3 linked regions of the Arabidopsis thaliana genome follow. The gene in region 1 interacts genetically with each later gene. Each region holds a gene or a part of one and is shown in the gene's direction. Other genes may lie near its edges.

What was found. Genes that interact genetically often act in the same process or in processes that back each other up.
Region 2: of PEP (region 1) and HUA1, changing one enhances a phenotype caused by changing the other (phenotypic enhancement), as found in Arabidopsis thaliana (one study listed by BioGRID).
Region 3: of PEP (region 1) and HEN4, changing one enhances a phenotype caused by changing the other (phenotypic enhancement), as found in Arabidopsis thaliana (one study listed by BioGRID).

The regions. Positions count from the first base shown.
Region 1 is NC_003075.7:13,195,291-13,200,360, forward strand, and holds PEP (RNA-binding KH domain-containing protein), read left to right. Parts: upstream 1-1,778; 5' UTR 1,779-1,989; coding exon 1,990-2,349; intron 2,350-2,583; coding exon 2,584-2,836; intron 2,837-2,995; coding exon 2,996-3,144; intron 3,145-3,226; coding exon 3,227-3,484; intron 3,485-3,642; coding exon 3,643-3,834; intron 3,835-3,973; coding exon 3,974-4,249; 3' UTR 4,250-4,551; downstream 4,552-5,070. UniProt on the Arabidopsis thaliana protein: Regulates vegetative and gynoecium development. In concert with HUA2, antagonizes FLK by positively regulating FLC probably at transcriptional and post-transcriptional levels, and thus acts as a negative regulator of flowering.
Region 2 is NC_003074.8:4,024,550-4,030,888, reverse strand, and holds HUA1 (floral homeotic protein (HUA1)), read left to right. Parts: upstream 1-1,748; 5' UTR 1,749-1,889; coding exon 1,890-2,280; intron 2,281-3,044; coding exon 3,045-3,292; intron 3,293-3,686; coding exon 3,687-3,743; intron 3,744-3,835; coding exon 3,836-3,907; intron 3,908-4,063; coding exon 4,064-4,120; intron 4,121-4,222; coding exon 4,223-4,420; intron 4,421-4,600; coding exon 4,601-4,638; intron 4,639-4,735; coding exon 4,736-4,782; intron 4,783-4,882; coding exon 4,883-5,001; intron 5,002-5,087; coding exon 5,088-5,141; intron 5,142-5,236; coding exon 5,237-5,377; intron 5,378-5,460; coding exon 5,461-5,613; 3' UTR 5,614-5,813; downstream 5,814-6,339. Other genes in the region: AGC1.5 (AGC kinase 1.5), read left to right, coding at 1-293; AT3G12685 (Acid phosphatase/vanadium-dependent haloperoxidase-related protein), read left to right, coding at 628-789, 869-1,003, 1,093-1,130, 1,213-1,279, 1,405-1,644. UniProt on the Arabidopsis thaliana protein: Involved in flower development. Functions in floral reproductive organ identity by binding AGAMOUS (AG) pre-mRNA and promoting its processing. Functions in association with HUA2 and HEN4.
Region 3 is NC_003076.8:25,741,333-25,748,178, forward strand, and holds HEN4 (RNA-binding KH domain-containing protein), read left to right. Parts: upstream 1-2,013; 5' UTR 2,014-2,109; coding exon 2,110-2,715; intron 2,716-2,862; coding exon 2,863-3,771; intron 3,772-3,873; coding exon 3,874-4,143; intron 4,144-4,483; coding exon 4,484-4,918; intron 4,919-5,070; coding exon 5,071-5,147; intron 5,148-5,205; coding exon 5,206-5,344; coding exon of another isoform or gene 5,345-5,410; exon of another isoform or gene 5,411-5,883; coding exon 5,884-6,048; 3' UTR 6,049-6,320; downstream 6,321-6,846. Other genes in the region: AT5G64380 (Inositol monophosphatase family protein), read left to right, coding at 10-238, 524-711, 790-1,186, 1,292-1,692. UniProt on the Arabidopsis thaliana protein: Functions in floral reproductive organ identity in the third whorl and floral determinacy specification by specifically promoting the processing of AGAMOUS (AG) pre-mRNA. Functions in association with HUA1 and HUA2.

The DNA.
Region 1 (5,070 bases):
GGATGAATATACGTAGTTTTGTCTTTGTCATATACTAGATTATATTCCCACCAGTCATTTTCCTATGTATTTAACAAGACAAGACGTAGAAAAATGAGAATTTTAGTACTTGAGTTAACATATTTAAAGATTATATTCCCATCAGTCATTGAACATATGTGTACATATATATACGAGGAGAATCTATAACTTAGTAAGGAGGGAAATATGAGATTTTATTTCTATAGAGAAAAGAAAGGATAAAACCTCTCTCTGCCAACACTGGCCACCGTCTCCAAAGTCCATCCCAGTTAATTTTTATTTTTTGGAATCTTCTTATGTTATTACTCTTTCTTTTCTTATGACAACATGTCAACATGTGACCTGTCGTCTTCTACTTTCTTTTCTTCAGCTTTTCTCCTTTTAAGCAGAATATTCAATCTATCTTCAAATTCATATCTGAGTTTTGTACTATAAAAGAAAAGCAGACATTAAAAAAGATTTGAATATAAAACAAATGTATTGGAGTGGTAAAGCACATCTTCATCAAACATTTTTAAGGAGCATCAATCTAATTGGTCGATGGAAATGGAAGTAAAGGAATAGAAGATTGTTTGTGTTCCATGATGATGTATATATATGCCTAATTAATGTTACTGTTAGTTACCTTTGGATAACAAAGATATTTAAAGCGGTTTAATGCTTATTAACGGTTGATGGATGTTACCTTTTCTTTTTGACATCACGGTAGATGTTACCTTTCATAGGTGTTGAATAGACAGATTGGGGACGTTAATTAGTAATGATGTAATTAGTTAGAGCTAAATAGTGCTAATAAATATATGTAAGAAATTGTTCGGAAAGTAACTAAAAAAAGTTCAATTCATGCAAGTAGACACTTCAAATGTGATAAATGTATAAGTATGATGTTAAGCATGTGACCCTTGAGAGTCGATTAGGGCACTGTACAAGATTGACCCAAATAGTTACAAACTACAAGTGAACTCTCTTCCATTACATATCTACGTGTATTGAGGGGACCATTATCGTACGTATACACGTATATATGTTTTGCCCTAAATTCCCAATTTTAATTCAGCATGGGGGACGGACTCATTCAATAGCATCGTCTTTCACTTTCCTTCTTCGGTTTAAAATCTCATTTTAGTTTCTGATCCAAAAAAAAATGTTTGATCAAAGATCAAAAACTTAGATAGAAACAAACTGTTTTTTTTTCTTAAATCAAGAAAGTCTAAAAAACTAAGATACAAAAAGGGACTCGCAGCGGCAGAGAGATAAGTATCTTACGGGCCAGCAGATAATTTCTATGTTACGTCCCTTTCATCCCCATTGCATATTGCATATGAAGACAACGGATATTAACTAAAATCTTCCAAAATTACGGTATAATGAATAATAATACACTTCTGTCTCATATAGTATTCTATTATATTGTTCGAAAATGTTCTTATTTACATATCTATTTATATTGTTAATTGATTGCGGCTATTACTGTGGATATTCATCGTAACTATTTTAATCAATACAAATCATGCAAAATAGTGAATGACTTAGAAAAGTTGAAACCACATATGATTGAGTTTAGGGGGAAAAGTATAAAAGAAAGCATGACTAGTATGTTACTATGTAGTAAGCTTCAAACATATATTTAAGAAAATACTATATATAGATACATATGATATAACATAACATTAAAATATATGGTGAAACATTTTTTCTTAATATCCTAAGCTTCAAACATATACCCAAGTAGAGAAGAGTTGGAGTATTCATTCTTTGGTTAAACATAGACCTAATACATAGCTCATATGGACAATTTTTCGACAAAACAAAAATGATAGCAAATGGGCTAAAATGGTTTCATATCGAAAAGCCCAAACCATTAAGCCAAAACGACGTCGTACGATATGACAGCGGCGATTCCTATAACCACCACCAGAGGTTAAAAAGTCTCTCTCTTTAGCTATCTTTTTTGTGTTACCGGTTCAAATGGCCGCCGTCGCAGATTCCGTTGAGAACAACGGTTCCATAAACCTCCCTGAGAATGAAAACCTTATACCGGCGGGATTCAGTGCCGCCGCATTGCTTGACGAAAACTCTGGCGCTTTCCCTGAATTGAATCAGCCCGATAGCTTAGCTGCTGCTGAGACTACCTTCCCCGATACGAACGATTCCGCGGAGGAGAGGTGGCCAGGTTGGCCTGGTGATTGCGTGTTTCGTATGATCGTTCCGGTGACTAAAGTCGGAGCTATTATTGGACGCAAAGGTGACTTTATAAAGAAGATGTGTGAGGAGACTCGTGCTCGTATCAAAGTCCTTGATGGTCCTGTTAATACTCCCGATCGCATCGTTAGTATCTCTATCTCCTTCTACGTGATTTACTGTGTTCAAAGCTAATTCGAATTTGGGGATTTTTAATTTCTATTTCTAGGGTTTCTTAATCATAAGTAGGAAGATTCTTGAGTTGTGATCATTAAAGTTGTGAACTTTTATCCCCTAGTTGTGCAATTTGATTACTTTATGGTTCCAATTATAGTTTGAAGTGTTCACTAAGTTAATTACTTGCTCAATGTTATGTTTTAGGTGTTAATATCTGGTAAGGAAGAACCAGAGGCCTACATGTCACCGGCAATGGACGCAGTGTTGAGGGTGTTTAGACGTGTTTCAGGGTTGCCTGATAATGATGATGATGATGTTCAAAACGCTGGAAGTGTCTTCTCTTCAGTGCGTTTATTAGTTGCTTCAACGCAGGCGATTAATTTGATTGGAAAACAAGGATCTTTGATTAAGTCTATAGTAGAGAACTCTGGTGCATCAGTTCGTATTTTATCAGAAGGTATTATCTATCATCTGCAGTTTTCTGTTTTTACCTAATTGATCTCTTTGTTTGTGATTGTTAAAGTTTAGTTTTTGCTATTTCAATTCATGTCTGTTTTTTTTTCTAAAATTGGTGTCTTTGTTGCCAGTTTCTTATTTCTCTACTTTTTTCTGCCAGAGGAAACACCGTTTTATGCTGCACAGGATGAGAGGATAGTGGATTTGCAAGGGGAAGCTTTAAAGATTCTTAAAGCATTAGAAGCCATTGTTGGACACCTTAGGAGATTTTTAGTTGACCATACTGTTGTCCCTCTCTTCGAGAAGCAAGTAAGCTTGCTTGTTTCAATCGAGATTATTCCTTTCCCTTTTTTTTCTTTTCTGAATTATTGTTATCTTTTCTTATCTTCAGTATCTAGCTAGGGTCTCTCAAACTCGCCAGGAAGAACCGTTAGCTGAAAGCAAGTCATCTCTGCATACTATTTCGTCAAATCTAATGGAGCCTGATTTCTCCCTCTTAGCACGGAGGGAACCTTTGTTTCTGGAGCGCGATTCTCGGGTGGACTCACGTGTTCAGCCTTCGGGAGTTTCTATCTACAGTCAGGATCCTGTACTGTCTGCCAGACACTCCCCAGGTCTTGCTCGGGTTTCTTCTGCTTTTGTGACACAGGTAGATTCCCTTAAATACAACATCAGCTCCTGAAAACGAGTTTAGCGATATCATCTTACTTGTTATGATTAGTCTTCCAGCAGTGATTTTGATCTTAACACATCTAACTTGTTTCTCTGAACTAGTAGTGACGTTTCTATAATGGATTCTCTTACTAGGTATCTCAAACGATGCAAATACCATTCTCCTATGCAGAGGATATTATTGGTGTAGAAGGAGCTAATATAGCCTATATCCGTCGAAGAAGCGGAGCTACCATAACCATTAAAGAGAGTCCGCATCCTGATCAAATCACAGTGGAAATCAAAGGCACAACTTCTCAAGTACAAACTGCTGAGCAACTAATTCAAGTAAGAACACATTCGATCTGTATATATATATATATACTTTCTGCGACGTGGCATTGTATAAACACTAAGATTATGCTTGCTTTGCATCCTACCCCGCCTGCTTCATCATAACCGTATTCTTTTGTTTACGTGTGTGTAGGAGTTCATCATCAATCACAAGGAACCAGTTTCGGTATCAGGGGGATATGCCAGAATCGACTCTGGATATGTACCTGCATATCCTCCTCAGCTAAGTAACCGTCAAGAGCCGCTCCCGAGCACCTACATGGGCACAGAGCCGGTGCAGTACAGACCAACAGCATACTCTCAGCTGGGGGGTCCTTCTACCTACACACCGACCCTGACTGGGCAAACTTATGGTTCGGAATATAGACCAGCTTCTGATGTTGGTGGCTACAGCAGTTATAATCTTTGAATTGGTTGCTGTGTTTAAGTTTATTTGCAGATTAATTTCTCTTTAGAGAAAGGCTCATTTATAATATAATAGAGAGGGAAAAGGAACAAGTTCTAGAGAGCCAATGTAGTTGTTGGAATGTGTAATGTAAATCTAGGTGCCCTTTTTTTTTTTTTTTTTCATACCTCGATATATGTCACACTACGTTTCTGGTCAAATAAGAACATGTTTTTTCTTTCTTTTTTGTATGAATTTGTTTATCAGAAGTCAGAATGATTCAGTTTTAAGAAATTTTTAGTTAACGTTTTACAACAATAACCTGTAGGAGCTTTTTCTTAATTGAATAAGTTTAAGCTTTCTATTTTGATCTGATGATGCTAATATGAAAGCATTCTCCGAAGAACCAAACCACATGAGACTTTTTGATTTCAATGTCCATTCGTAACTAGTAACGGAAAAGATCAGACAGAAAAAATGTACCAATCATTCCATATTTGTAGTTTTACATGATATAGTAATATTCTCTAGGTGTTTAAGTTGTATATTTCATGATTTTTACACATTTTAAAACCTGATTAAGGCCTGTTTTTAACTTTTTATTTCTTCAAACCGTAAGAAACAATCCTTGCAAGAAACAATCCTTGCTTCTTCTTCTTTTTTTCGTCAAGAAACAATCCTTGCTATATTTTCATTTTTACAGCTTCTTGTTTTTAAGAGAGCAAATATAATAAATAAGGACGGCTGAAAAGAGGTATATGTATCACAAAATTAAACAAAAGAGAATCCACCTATCGACATAGACGTGGTATCCTTTCGATATCGACAGAATTATGTTGAACGCA
Region 2 (6,339 bases), on another chromosome or scaffold:
TCATCCGCGGACTACTAGTGAAGGATCCACACAGAAGGATCGCTTACACGAGGGGGGCCACAGAGATAAAGCAACACCCTTTCTTTGAAGGAGTGAATTGGGCTCTAGTTCGTAGTGCTGCCCCACCTCACATTCCAGACCCCGTGGACTTGGGACCGTACGCGGCCGCTAGAGGTAAGACCAAGAGCCATGGAGGTGGTGATCACTGTAACTCAATGAAGCCGGAGCCTCTGGTCGCCTGTGCTGCTGGTCCCACGGATGATACGGCGTATATAGATTTCGAGTACTTTTAGACTTAAAACTCCACAAGCTGAAAGTTTCGATATGTTTGTTTTTGTTCATATTCTTTAATTTTGGCGAATACAAATTGTGATTTATAAAAGAAGAACAGATGACTTGGTTTAAGAGACTAAAAGAGTTTTACTAAAAGAGTTAAAGCAGATTTTGTGTGTGAGATAACAATTTGTCAATGAAAAAATCCACAAAAGCTTCTCTGAGTCAATTAAAATGTCCTAAGAGACAACACTCTTCTCGACATAACAGAGCGTCAGAACCATTGGTTCCAAATTTCTCGCTGCCTTATTCTTATCGTCATCCTCCGACCAAAGTTCCATCTTCTGCACAGAGATGTTGATGAAGCACTGTTTTGTGTCTCATAACGCCAATGATCTCTGTTTCTCTTTCTCCAACTCCAAATTCAATCTTGCAAGCTGCCCAAAGAAGCCACCTCGTCTCACCTGCGTTGTCAATGTTGGATTCCAAGATATCGCTGAGGTCATCCACAACAAGGTTTCGCCTTTTTCTCTTCTTTCATTCCTTTTTTTGGAGGGTCATCGTCACTTAGGCTTTTGATTTCACCGGCGTGAAGGTACTCATAGCTGCTGGGACTTCTGCTGTGATTGGGCAGCTCTCAAAGCCATTCACTTCTGTCGTTTTGTATGGGAAAAATCTGGACTTTAGAAGTGTCTTTCAAGCTGGAGGTTTCCCTTCAACACATTCTTCTGTAAGCTTATCCTTTTTTTATTCTTGTTTCCTCTGGTAATATTGTTTGTCTACTTCTCTGACATTTTGGCCTAATTCTTGAGAAACCAGTCTGTTGTGGCTGCAGCAACTGCTATTGCTTTTGAAAGGTGATTAGCCTGAACCTTTCTCTTCTCAATTCCCCTAAATATACTCAGCTTATGCAATTTCCTGAATATGGTTTGGCTTCAGGGGATTTGCTGACTCCATTTTTGGTCTAACTGTGGTTTATGCTGGCCTTATCATGTATGATGCCCAGGTAAAATAGTCTATAGAGAAAAGCTTAGGCTGGCTTTTGTTCAATAGGTCTTTGTTGGTTATTCTCAAATTCTCAATGTCTGATTCTAGTGTTATCTTAATGTCTCACTGATTGTAACATTGCAGGGGGTGAGGAGAGAAGTTGGAAAACATGCCAAAGTGTTGAACAAACTAACAGCTAATGCTCGTAGAAGTGAAGTAATGAGTTTAAAGGGCAACGAATCTAACAAAGCTTTGACATCAGAAGAGATCAGTGAGGAGATTGCTCCTCCATTGAAAGAATCAATAGGACACACTGAAGTTGAAGTCATAGCAGGGGCTTTGTTCGGTTTCTTAGTTACCCTCAGTGTTTATTCCCTGATGTAAAAAAGCTCCCAACTTTATAAAAACTATATATTTTTTGTGTTGATAAGAAAGAAAGAGAATTTAATAATGTGCAAACTGCAATAAAACAGAGAATCAGTGGTAATGTCAAATCAAGTTTTATGGATCTGAGAATTTTTGTTCTGTTTGAGTTGGTTGTAAACCCCACAAACACAACAATTTTGATAATTTGTTTGACACCAAAAAAGTAGAAAGCTTTTTCCTTTAGGGTTTCCTTTTTCGATCGAATGGCACATCGTCAATTGTATAGCTACGCCCTTCAACCTTCTTATGCTGCTGCTGCCTCCACCGTATCTCCAGCTCCTCCTCCGCCGCAACAACCACTGCCGCCAAAAACCGGTCTTTCTTCTCTCTACGGTTCTTCTGCTGACCATTACTTTCCGGATACCACGTATCGTTTCTTAGCTCGTGATGGATCCGAAGCTTTGAGCAACTATTCAGGGACTCTTGCATCGTCTTCCTCTATGTACCATCATTTGCCTAACACGACGGCATCGCATTTGGCGTATCCTCAGCTGCTTCAGCATCAGGAAGTTGCTTGGCCACCTGGTGTGGAGGTTCCCGGTGCTGCTTCCGCCGTCGAGCCACTTCCTCCTGGTGTCAAACGCACCTCTGAAGGTAGGCTCTTTGTTTACCTTACTATTTATGGGATCTGCATCATTTTCTTATTTATTGCTTGGAGAACTATGCCGCATAACTTGAAAAGTTAAAGACTTCAGCTTTCCCTTTTCTCTGCTCATCGTGATACTCTAGTTCTGTAGCGGAAATTAGTGTTTTTGATGGTTTGTTTCTTCAATTGCAGCATAAAAAACTCAGCTTTAGTCATGGTCTCTAGCCTGATTCTTTCTAGGATAGATTTTAATTTACATTTGCTCAAGCACAATGATGTTGGTTTGTATTCCTCTGTGCTTTCTCGTTAGCTGAAATAGAGGTTGGATTGGTTTGGCCAATTGCTTTGTTTTGAGTCTGGACAACGCGAAGCTTGACAGTTAGAATCATCTTTCAGGAGATGCTTAGGGATTGCATCTATAAACTATATAGCTTATGGTAGTGTTCTTGATTAAGTCTTTGTTGCTTTAGGATTGCCTAACGATAATTGTTTTTAGTTTTGACCTTAATGTTTATTGGAACACTTGGTGATTTTGCAGAATTGATTGATGATTTATGTTTTGTTGTAACTCTATGGTTTCCAATAGATTTTCAGACATGATTGTATGTAAGCCAGAATTTCTTACTGTAAGTTTAACTAAAGATACAATTGATTATTGATGCTATATCTTGGTTTTTGCTATAGTATCTCCCAAATTTATTTTCAAATTATACTTATAGTCAGTATATATCTTCTCATTTCGTTGTATATTATTGTTTATTATGTAATTTAGCGCTCTACTATCCGACTCTGTTGGGTGCCCATAATACAATTGGTCAAACCGAAGCTTGGTATACTACAGACTATTTTACCAAGCGCCCTAAGTTGGAGAGTACAAGCCATTTGCCTATATATCCACAGAGGGCAGGAGAGAAAGATTGTACCCACTATATGCAAACAAGAACATGTAAATTTGGAGAAAGCTGCAGGTTTGATCATCCTATTTGGGTTCCTGAGGGCGGAATCCCAGATTGGAAAGAGGTGATCGTTTACTACTATCTAAGTATTTCTTATGCCCTCATATGATTTTTACATTATTATGATAACGTTTTTCTATATTCTGTTATGTACTTATATGTTTTATACTGTGGGAGTTTGTGCCTAATTACTTTGTAACTATATATATTGTTTTTGTTTGGTATACGAGGTTATAGAATTACTACATTATCATGATAGTGTAGGTATAGGTATGACAAATGGTATCTTATTGTTATTCAAGATTTGAGCTTCCCGACTTCTGCAACCGTGTTTGTTATCCTTGCTTTTCCCTTTGTCAGATCATTCCTTGACTTGGAAGAGACATCATACTCATTGTCTAGGCATTACATGATAAAATGATATGATTGTTTTTGCTTATGAATATCTTTTCATTCAGGCACCAGTTGTTCCAAATGAAGAGTATCCTGAGAGACCAGGAGAACCAGATTGTCCTGTAAGCTGTTCGTGAAAACTTTTCGAGCTATTTTATTTCTGTTTCGCCTGAAGACCTGAGACTATCTTTCTTTTATTTTCACTGTTATCCAGTACTATATAAAAACACAACGCTGCAAATATGGTTCAAAGTGCAAATTTAATCATCCAAGAGAAGAGGCTGCAGTAAGTGAATTTTCCTTTTCCAAATAAAATTATCCCTCGGGTTGTGTATTTGCCTGCAGACACTCGCATAAAATCTTGTGCTTGTAATATGTACTGCTTTAGTTTTTTCTTGGGCTGTGCATGCACCTAGAAGCTTGATGCTCTTCTTTATTTCAGGTTAGTGTTGAAACTCAAGATTCATTGCCTGAGAGGCCTTCTGAACCTATGTGCACAGTAAGATATAAACATAATTGATTGACCTATCCTATTTTTATAAATGCTCTTACATATGAAACTAATATCGATTATTAATTTGGCATTTCTACTCTGCATCAGTTCTACATGAAGACTGGAAAATGTAAATTTGGTTTGTCATGCAAATTCCACCATCCAAAGGATATCCAGCTACCATCATCGAGTCAAGATATTGGTAGCAGTGTGGGGTTAACCAGTGAGCCTGATGCCACAAACAATCCGCATGTCACATTTACCCCAGCATTGTATCACAACTCAAAAGGACTACCTGTTAGATCGGTAATGAATTCATCTTCACTTTGCATAAGACTGACTTATAATCATATAGGCACAATTTGTGACTTTCTACTATCTTATTGGCACTATACTTAGAACTGATTATGGTTTGCTAGCATTGTATGCTGACCTGTTCTGACGTCTGAGAATGAAGTTTCACTAATTAGATTGTAGCTTTTTCAGGGTGAAGTGGACTGCCCATTCTATCTCAAAACGGGAAGGTGAATATCTCTTGTATAATACTATTTTGTTGTTTAGAACATTGAAACAAAGAACGTGACATTAACGTTCTAACTTGTTTTCCTTTTCCATAATCAGCTGCAAGTATGGAGCCACTTGTCGCTACAATCATCCTGAGAGGACTGGTTTGTGATCATGCCAAAATTTTGTGGTTTTTAGAACCTTTAACGTATTACTTTTATCCCTAAATTCTCATAATGTGCGATGTTTTGATTCTGTGCACAGCATTCATTCCCCAAGCTGCTGGGGTAAACTATTCTCTAGTTTCATCGAACACTGCGAATTTGAACCTTGGGCTGGTTACACCAGCTACCTCTTTCTATCAGACTCTTACTCAACCCACGGTAAAAGCCTTTATTCATGTTGTGAGAAATATTCAAGAGCGCTTCTTTAGTTGATAGGGGTTTAATTAGAGTGGAAATTGTTTCAGCTTGGAGTGATTTCAGCAACTTATCCCCAAAGACCTGGACAATCAGAATGTGACGTTAGTATCCTTGTTTCTTTTAGAGATTGCTGAGCTTTTTCTCCCACATGTTAGTTGAAATTTTATACCAAAAGCTCTGTCTTTCAATATTACAGTACTACATGAAGACAGGGGAGTGCAAGTTTGGAGAGAGATGCAAATTCCATCACCCAGCAGATAGGTTAAGTGCAATGACCAAACAAGCTCCTCAACAACCAAATGTAAAGCTGAGTCTTGCAGGGTATCCCAGAAGAGAGGTACCTATAAAGTGGTATTATTAGAAGCCTGCATGTTGTGAGTTTGTGTGGTAATCTCATAGACAAAACAAAAACTGTTGCAGGGTGCGCTTAATTGCCCTTATTACATGAAGACAGGAACTTGCAAATACGGGGCAACATGCAAGTTTGACCATCCTCCTCCAGGTGAGGTGATGGCTAAGACCACTTCAGAAGCCGATGCTGCTGGAGCAACCAACACCGACACTACTCAATGAGTTTCCCAGCTTTGTGTAACATAAGATGATATCTTGTTGTAATCCTAGTTTACTTCCTATGTACTGCATCTGTTTCGTTTCGAAATGCTTATCGCTCGTGAGTTCTCTACTTCTCTTTATCATCCTAAAACAAAAAAGATATCGTTGAGTGAGTCTTCTTTTACTCAGTTGAGCTCATAAAAGCAAAATTGTTCATCACCACTCTTCTCTCCTCAATGATCCAATTGAGCATTTATCTGCCGTTGATTCGGTTCTCTTGGATAAATATCGTTTCCATTGTGATTTTGTTTATAGCAATTGTCAGTAAACTCCAACTAATCTCCACAATAAGATGAAACAACACGTAACAACAAGATGTGACAGAGTGACGACAGAGAGCCAGTGCATGAAACATGCTTCTTCAGCAAGACACATGTCGGTGCTAACTGCTAAATCAAAAGTGGGTCCAATGTTTTGTTCTTAAGAGTCGAAGAAGAGGACATGACATGAGAAACAGAGGCAAAGGAAGAAAACATGGACTAGTTGTCTCCGTGTCTCTGATTTTAAGTTTTGATGAAACATGTGGAAGGCCTCTATTAATGGTATAACGACAAATGATGAAAGTAGCAAAGGAGGACTCAAAAAGTTTGATGCCTTTTTGATTGGATCTTTTAAAAATATGAGCACACTTCCCTATAATACTTCTATAATCCAAAATACTCTTTTGGGCCTATCTTACCAAAATTA
Region 3 (6,846 bases), on another chromosome or scaffold:
TAGAAAATAATGCAATCTCTTACCTTAACTCGGTACCCAACTCCAATTTCCCCGCCAAGACTCAATCTTTACCCGCTAAGACAAATCGCAGCTTCTGTTCTCTCTGCTCCGACCGCCGGTATTAACCGTCGCGATATGGCGTCTCGCCATCAGTCAACTTCCTTTAAGCCCCTTGCCGTTGGTCGGAATTTGACCGGAGATGATGATGATGGTTACTGTACTCTTATAGACTTTGCAGGTAACAAACTGCTCTGTCTGAACGAACTTAGCACTGTCTCGATAATTCAAGTTAATGTGTTGTCTGTCATCCATTGTCAATCTATGTCCGAAAATCCGTAACTTTAGTGGAAATACCCTGAATTTAGCATCTAAAATGTGCTTAATTGAGTAAGACAAATCTTGGAAACTCTCTTAGACGAACAATGGTTGGGTTTTGACTTTTGACGGTTCCTCTGTATAAGCAGTTTGATTGAAGTCTTAAATTTATTATTATTTTAAGTTGTTCTATGAAATTTTCTGATAGGTAGTGGAGGAGGAGAAGGGAAAAATGTAGGAGAGGATCTTGTGGTGTTGCTTTACCACTTACAACATGCTTGCAAAAGAATCGCTTCTCTTGTCGCCTCTCCTTTCAATTCTTCACTCGGAAAGCTCTCTGTTAACTCCTCTAGTGGGTCAGACCGAGATGCGCCTAAGCCGCTCGATATTGTCTCGGTCTGTATCTTATTACTCTCTTTTTTATCATGATTCATATCAAGATTCAATCTTACAATTCATGTTTCCGTTTTGCAGAACGATATCGTCTTGTCCTCTCTTAGAAACTCAGGGAAAGTAGCAGTAATGGCTTCTGAAGAAAACGATAGTCCAACTTGGATCAAAGATGATGGTCCTTACGTTGTGGTTGTAGATCCTCTAGATGGATCACGGAACATCGATGCTTCGATTCCCACGGGAACTATATTTGGAATTTACAATCGTCTCGTTGAGCTTGATCATTTACCTGTTGAAGAGAAAGCTGAGCTCAATTCTTTGCAGAGAGGCAGCAGGCTTGTAGCTTCCGGTTATGTGCTATACTCTTCAGCCACTATCTTCTGTGTTACACTTGGATCGGGAACACACGCCTTCACGCTAGACCATTCCACAGGAGAATTTGTTCTTACCCATCAAAACATCAAGATCCCAACTCGGGGTAAAAAGCGTCTAATGACACATATGACTTGATCCATTGCGACATTCCTATTCATGGCTCTGAACAACCTGCATTAATCGTTGTTTTTTGTATGATCAACAATAGGACAAATCTACTCAGTGAACGATGCGAGGTACTTTGATTGGCCAGAAGGTTTAAGGAAGTACATTGACACAGTGAGACAAGGCAAAGGTCAAAACCCGAAAAAATACTCTGCGCGTTATATTTGTTCTCTAGTAGCTGATCTTCACAGGACTCTCTTATACGGTGGAGTGGCTATGAATCCAAGAGACCATCTTCGTTTAGTCTATGAAGGTAACCCTTTGGCTTTTCTCGTGGAGCAAGCTGGTGGCAAATCCTCTGATGGAAAAAGAGGGATACTTTCGATACAACCCGTGAAGCTTCACCAAAGATTGCCTCTGTTTCTTGGGAGCTTAGAGGATGTTGCTGAGCTAGAGAGCTATGGAGATGTGCAGCAGACTGTGAACCCTGGCTATGAAGTTTAAACAACTCCTCTGTTTCATATTATCTGTAAAAACAATAAATGAATCGATGTTAGATTTGGTTGCTTGTAACATTATGTATTAGGAAAGTTAGATCCGTGTATATATCTGTTTATCAAGATTCAAGATCGACTGGTATAATCACAATTCACAAGTTTATTATGTTTCTTTATCAGAAGCAATCTTTCTTCGATTTCTAACACAGTCCCACTCCCATAAATTGGTTGTTAGATTTCGGTTAAGTTTAGTAAGAATTTTTAAAATCGGTACGGTATGGTTTGCCGTTAAATAATAAATATATAATGCGGATATTTGGCGCAAGTTAGCAACTTAGCGTTAAAGACCACCAAAGACTTCTCTCAAGTCCTCTGCGCCGGAAACCGCCGTGACGAGATTGGAGAGGGAGAGAGAGGAGAGATAATGGAGCGAAATAGCGTTAAATTTCATGCAGAGAAGAGATCCGGAGCGTTTGATCCAGGTTCAGGATTCGGATCTTCCAAGAGGGTCAAAACGCATCACACGCAGCTGCTCTCAGCTCTGGTTGTGCCGGTGGGACACGCGGCGTTTAGATTGCTCTGCCCTTTATCACACGTCGGTGCGGTGATTGGAAAATCTGGAAACGTAATCAAACAGCTCCAACAATCAACCGGAGCTAAGATACGGGTCGAGGAGCCTCCGTCTGGGTCTCCGGATCGGGTCATCACGATAATCGCACAAGCAGATTCGAAATCAAGGGTGAAATTGGGTGCTAATAACAATGGCAATGCAGAAGGAGAGAAAAAGGAGGAGGAAGTTGAGGTATCTAAAGCACAAGGAGCGTTGATTAAGGTATTCGAGCTTTTAGCGGCGGAAGCTGATAGTGATACGGTCGTGTGCCGATTGTTGACGGAGTCTAGCCATGCCGGTGCTGTGATAGGCAAAGGTGGTCAAATGGTTGGGAGTATTAGGAAAGAAACTGGCTGCAAAATTTCTATACGGATTGAGAATTTGCCGATTTGCGCTGATACTGATGACGAGATGGTGGAGGTACGAATTCTAATTGATACTAAATTTAGAAACTATGAATATCTCTTTGGAGAAAATGTTTTGAGCTGAAACGTTGGTTTAGCACTCTATAGATGCTTGTTTTTTTGCAGATTGTAATGTATTGGTTTTCATATTGAACTATGGCAGGTTGAAGGAAATGCTATCGCTGTAAAGAAAGCTCTTGTGTCTATCTCCCGCTGCTTGCAAAATTGTCAATCGATTGACAAGGTAAGGATGGTTGGAAACAGACCTCTCGAAAAAGAGTTCCAAGCATCTTTGCATAGGCCTATAGAGACAATAATTCAGGAGTCACTTCCTAGGTCCGTTGAAGTTAACCCTTACGATTATAGGCTGAGAAACGACGAGATATTTCCCCGGGGCACTGTAGCTCGGGCTAATGATGTGATTCCTCATGATACTTTGCATCTTAGGCGTATCGAGGCGGTTCCCCAGGGTGCTTTACGCATGCATATTGAGGCAGACCGGCAAGATGTTTTACGCAGGCATGTTGAGGCGGACCGGCAAGATGCTTTACGCAGGCGTATTGATGTAGTTCCTCAAGAAACGTTATACATGCCTTCTGATGTTCTCAGGGGAGATTGTTTTCGACAGCATAGAGAGAGGGATGATTCTCATGATTCCTTGCATAGACCTTTCGAAATGGTTCCACGTGATGCTATGGGCATGCCTTTTGAGTCGTTTCCACGTGATGCTTACGGAAGGCCTATTGAAACAATGACACAAGAAACTCTTCGTGGGCAAAGTGCAGATTATCTTGCACATCGTTATTCGACTTTAGACACACATCCTCACAGCTTCACTACGTCTGCTTCAATGGCTAACACTGCCACCATGAAGCCACCTCCATCAGAAGTGGAAGTAGGGAACCAAGATGTGGTTTTTAAGATACTTTGTTCCACTGAGAATGCTGGCGGAGTTATCGGGACTGGAGGTAAAGTTGTCAGGATGCTTCATAGCGAAACAGGTGCCTTCATAAATGTGGGAAATACACTTGATGATTGTGAAGAACGTCTGATTGCAGTAACTGCATCAGAGGTTGGTGTTTTCTATTTCTTCCCATTTTCATGGATGCTTATGCAGTACTGTTCCATCTATTTACTATCCTTGGTTGATAATTGTTGCTTGTTCATCATGTAGAACCCTGAATGTCAAAGCTCGCCAGCCCAGAAAGCGATTATGCTTATTTTTTCAAGATTATTTGAGCTTGCCACTAACAAAATCCTAGATAATGGCCCAAGGTCATCTATCACTGCACGGCTTGTTGTCCCAACAAGTCAGATTGGTTGTGTGCTGGGAAAAGGAGGTGTTATTGTTTCGGAAATGCGGAAAACCACTGGGGCTGCAATTCAAATTTTGAAGGTTGAGCAGAACCCAAAATGTATTTCAGAGAATGATCAAGTTGTGCAGGTACTTAGATCATTTGTTGACCTTATGGTTATGGTACATATTCCACGTGACAATCTCTCATCTGATTTGTGAGCATAATTTGGAATTAGCATGCTAAATGTTAGTGGTTTGCTTTTCATTACCGAATCCTGTGTTGGTCTCTATTCACCTTGCACACTTGTCAAAAGTTGGTGGTGTTTTAGTTATTGCTACATTCTGAAAGAAATTGAAAGATTCATGCAAACAGAGAGTTAAAAAGATCATTTACTGTAAACTTGGTTGAGAGATTAACTCGGTCATATTGTAAGCTCCATTGTTCCTTAAGTTGTCTGGCATAAACTAATTCTTTACTGGCCAATAGATTACAGGAGAGTTCCCTAATGTGAGAGAAGCCATTTTCCATATTACAAGCAGGCTGCGAGACAGTGTTTTCTCCAACTCAATGAAAAATTCCTTAGCCAAGAGCAGCTCCGCCTTAACTACTGAGAGATTCTACGACAGACAATCAGACAATCCTCTGTCTATTGGGTCTCATCAATCCGTTAGTAATCCAGCTACCAACTCCTCAAGTCTGCACAGAAGATCTGAGGATTCCTTTTTAAGTGGGTCTCATTCATCAGTTAACTATTCCAGATCAGTTGGCACAGATCCTTACATAAGACCAGAAGACCCATTTCCTGATAGGTTTAATCCCTCAGCAGGCTATTCTCATAATTTTGGTCGGCGGTTTACCATGGACCACAGTGATAACTCCCATCACTTAACTGAGGCCCCATCTCGTTTGTGGGCGTCCCCGGTATGTCTCCATCTCTCTGTATTCTCCCATCCTCCCCTTTCTGCTGTACATAAGTACTTGTTGATACTCCCATTCTTCCTCTACACATTCAGATTTTGAACATTTGTGCTTCTATCTAACTTCTGTAGCTGATAGACATAGTTTTTATGTAGCCTCCAGCAGCTCCAAGAGGCTTATCTGATGCCAGTGGCGGATTATCTTCTGCAAGGGCTGGCCATGTACTTGGCAGGTAAAAGCACTACAATTATAGACAGTTATGTGAGATAATTACTCTGATCTTTGTGTAGTTTACATGCTCGCTTGGTCTTTTCTAGTGGACACAAATCTGCCATCGTTACAAACACTACCGTGGAAATTAGAGTTCCAGCTAATGCTATGAGCTTTGTGTATGGAGAGCAGGGTTACAATCTGGAACAACTGAGACAGGTAAGCCATTTTTTGTTTACAAATCTTTTATTGGTTTTCCCCATAGCGTCATCCAAAAGAGGTTAGGCCATGATTAATTGCTCCACAAGAGCAGCCATAGGTTTTGGTTTCCATTGGCTGCTCTTATACGTAAGTGAACTCTAGGGTTACTAAAAACGGAAGTGAACTCTAGGGTTACTAAAAAGAAAGCATGAGAAAATAAAATTCATATACGTAAAGTCTTATACATGGTGCAAACAATCGTGCTACCATTAATCTAAGTCAATAGGAGTCTAGGACTATTCTCAACGATGTATAACTTTACTCAAAAAAAACTGTTTTAAGTCACGAAAACTCCATCTTCGTTGAAGTACTCAACGTTTGTTCCATTATTCAGTGTTACAGTCGTTGTTTAAAAACAGAATTTTCATCTAGCCCCATCAGTCTGAAATAATCATCTACAGACCAAATAATTAGTGTCATAAAGATGAAGTAGCACCCCGTTGGTTGACTTAAACGGCTTAAGCATAGCTTATACCATTTGATGCTTGTTTACTCAGATATCGGGTGCAAGGGTCATAATCCATGAACCTCCTCTAGGAACAAGTGACAGGATCATTGTCATATCTGGAACACCTGATCAAACCCAGGCTGCCCAAAACCTTCTTCATGCCTTCATCCTTACAGGTGAAACCTCATTGTCCAAAAAATACAACCTAAACTAGAACCACACACTTATAACCATACAGAAAACAAAAAAAAGGAAACGAGCTCTCACATGTTTCTTGTCCCTTTTATTTAATCTCCCTTTTTTTTTGTTGATTTGGATCTTTTGAACTCTTGTACAATATCTTTTTCGTTTTAAGTACTTTGAAGGAATCAGTTTGATGTCTTGCCTAAAATTTTCTTCTTTTATCCCACATTATTACGCATGGAACTGAGATTTGATTGACAGTATATAGAGGGACAGTCATTGTCATAAAATGTTCGGTACTAGATGTTTACAAAAGGAAAACTTGATAACAACGGGTCAATATGTTGGCTGCTTTGGATTGCTAAAACCTGCTTGCACAATTTCTTTGTAGACTGCCTTTTTTCCAGCTTTTGTCACCTTCTTTAGCTATGAAAATCAAATGGTAGAAAATTTATAGGAATTTTACTCTATAAGTTCCAGAATCAAAGTTGTTTGACAAAAAAAAAAGAAAAAAAAAAAAAAAAAAAGTTCCAAAATCAAAGCCTGAAAATTGTTACCGTCAACAGAGTTTCACTGATGGTTTTGTAAACCCCTTCATTTTATAGCTTTCACAATCTCAGAACATTTGTTCTTTCTGTAGCAAAACTACACTACAAACTTTATCAGAGATTCTATACACATTTGATATACCATACTCGCTATCAGTAATCAAATCAATAGTAATGCAAAATTAAGATTCATGCGTAAAAATAGTGCAAAAGCGAAAAAAACTATGAAATTTGAGTCTATAGAAGAGGGTCTTGCGAGGTTGAATAATATTCGTATATAT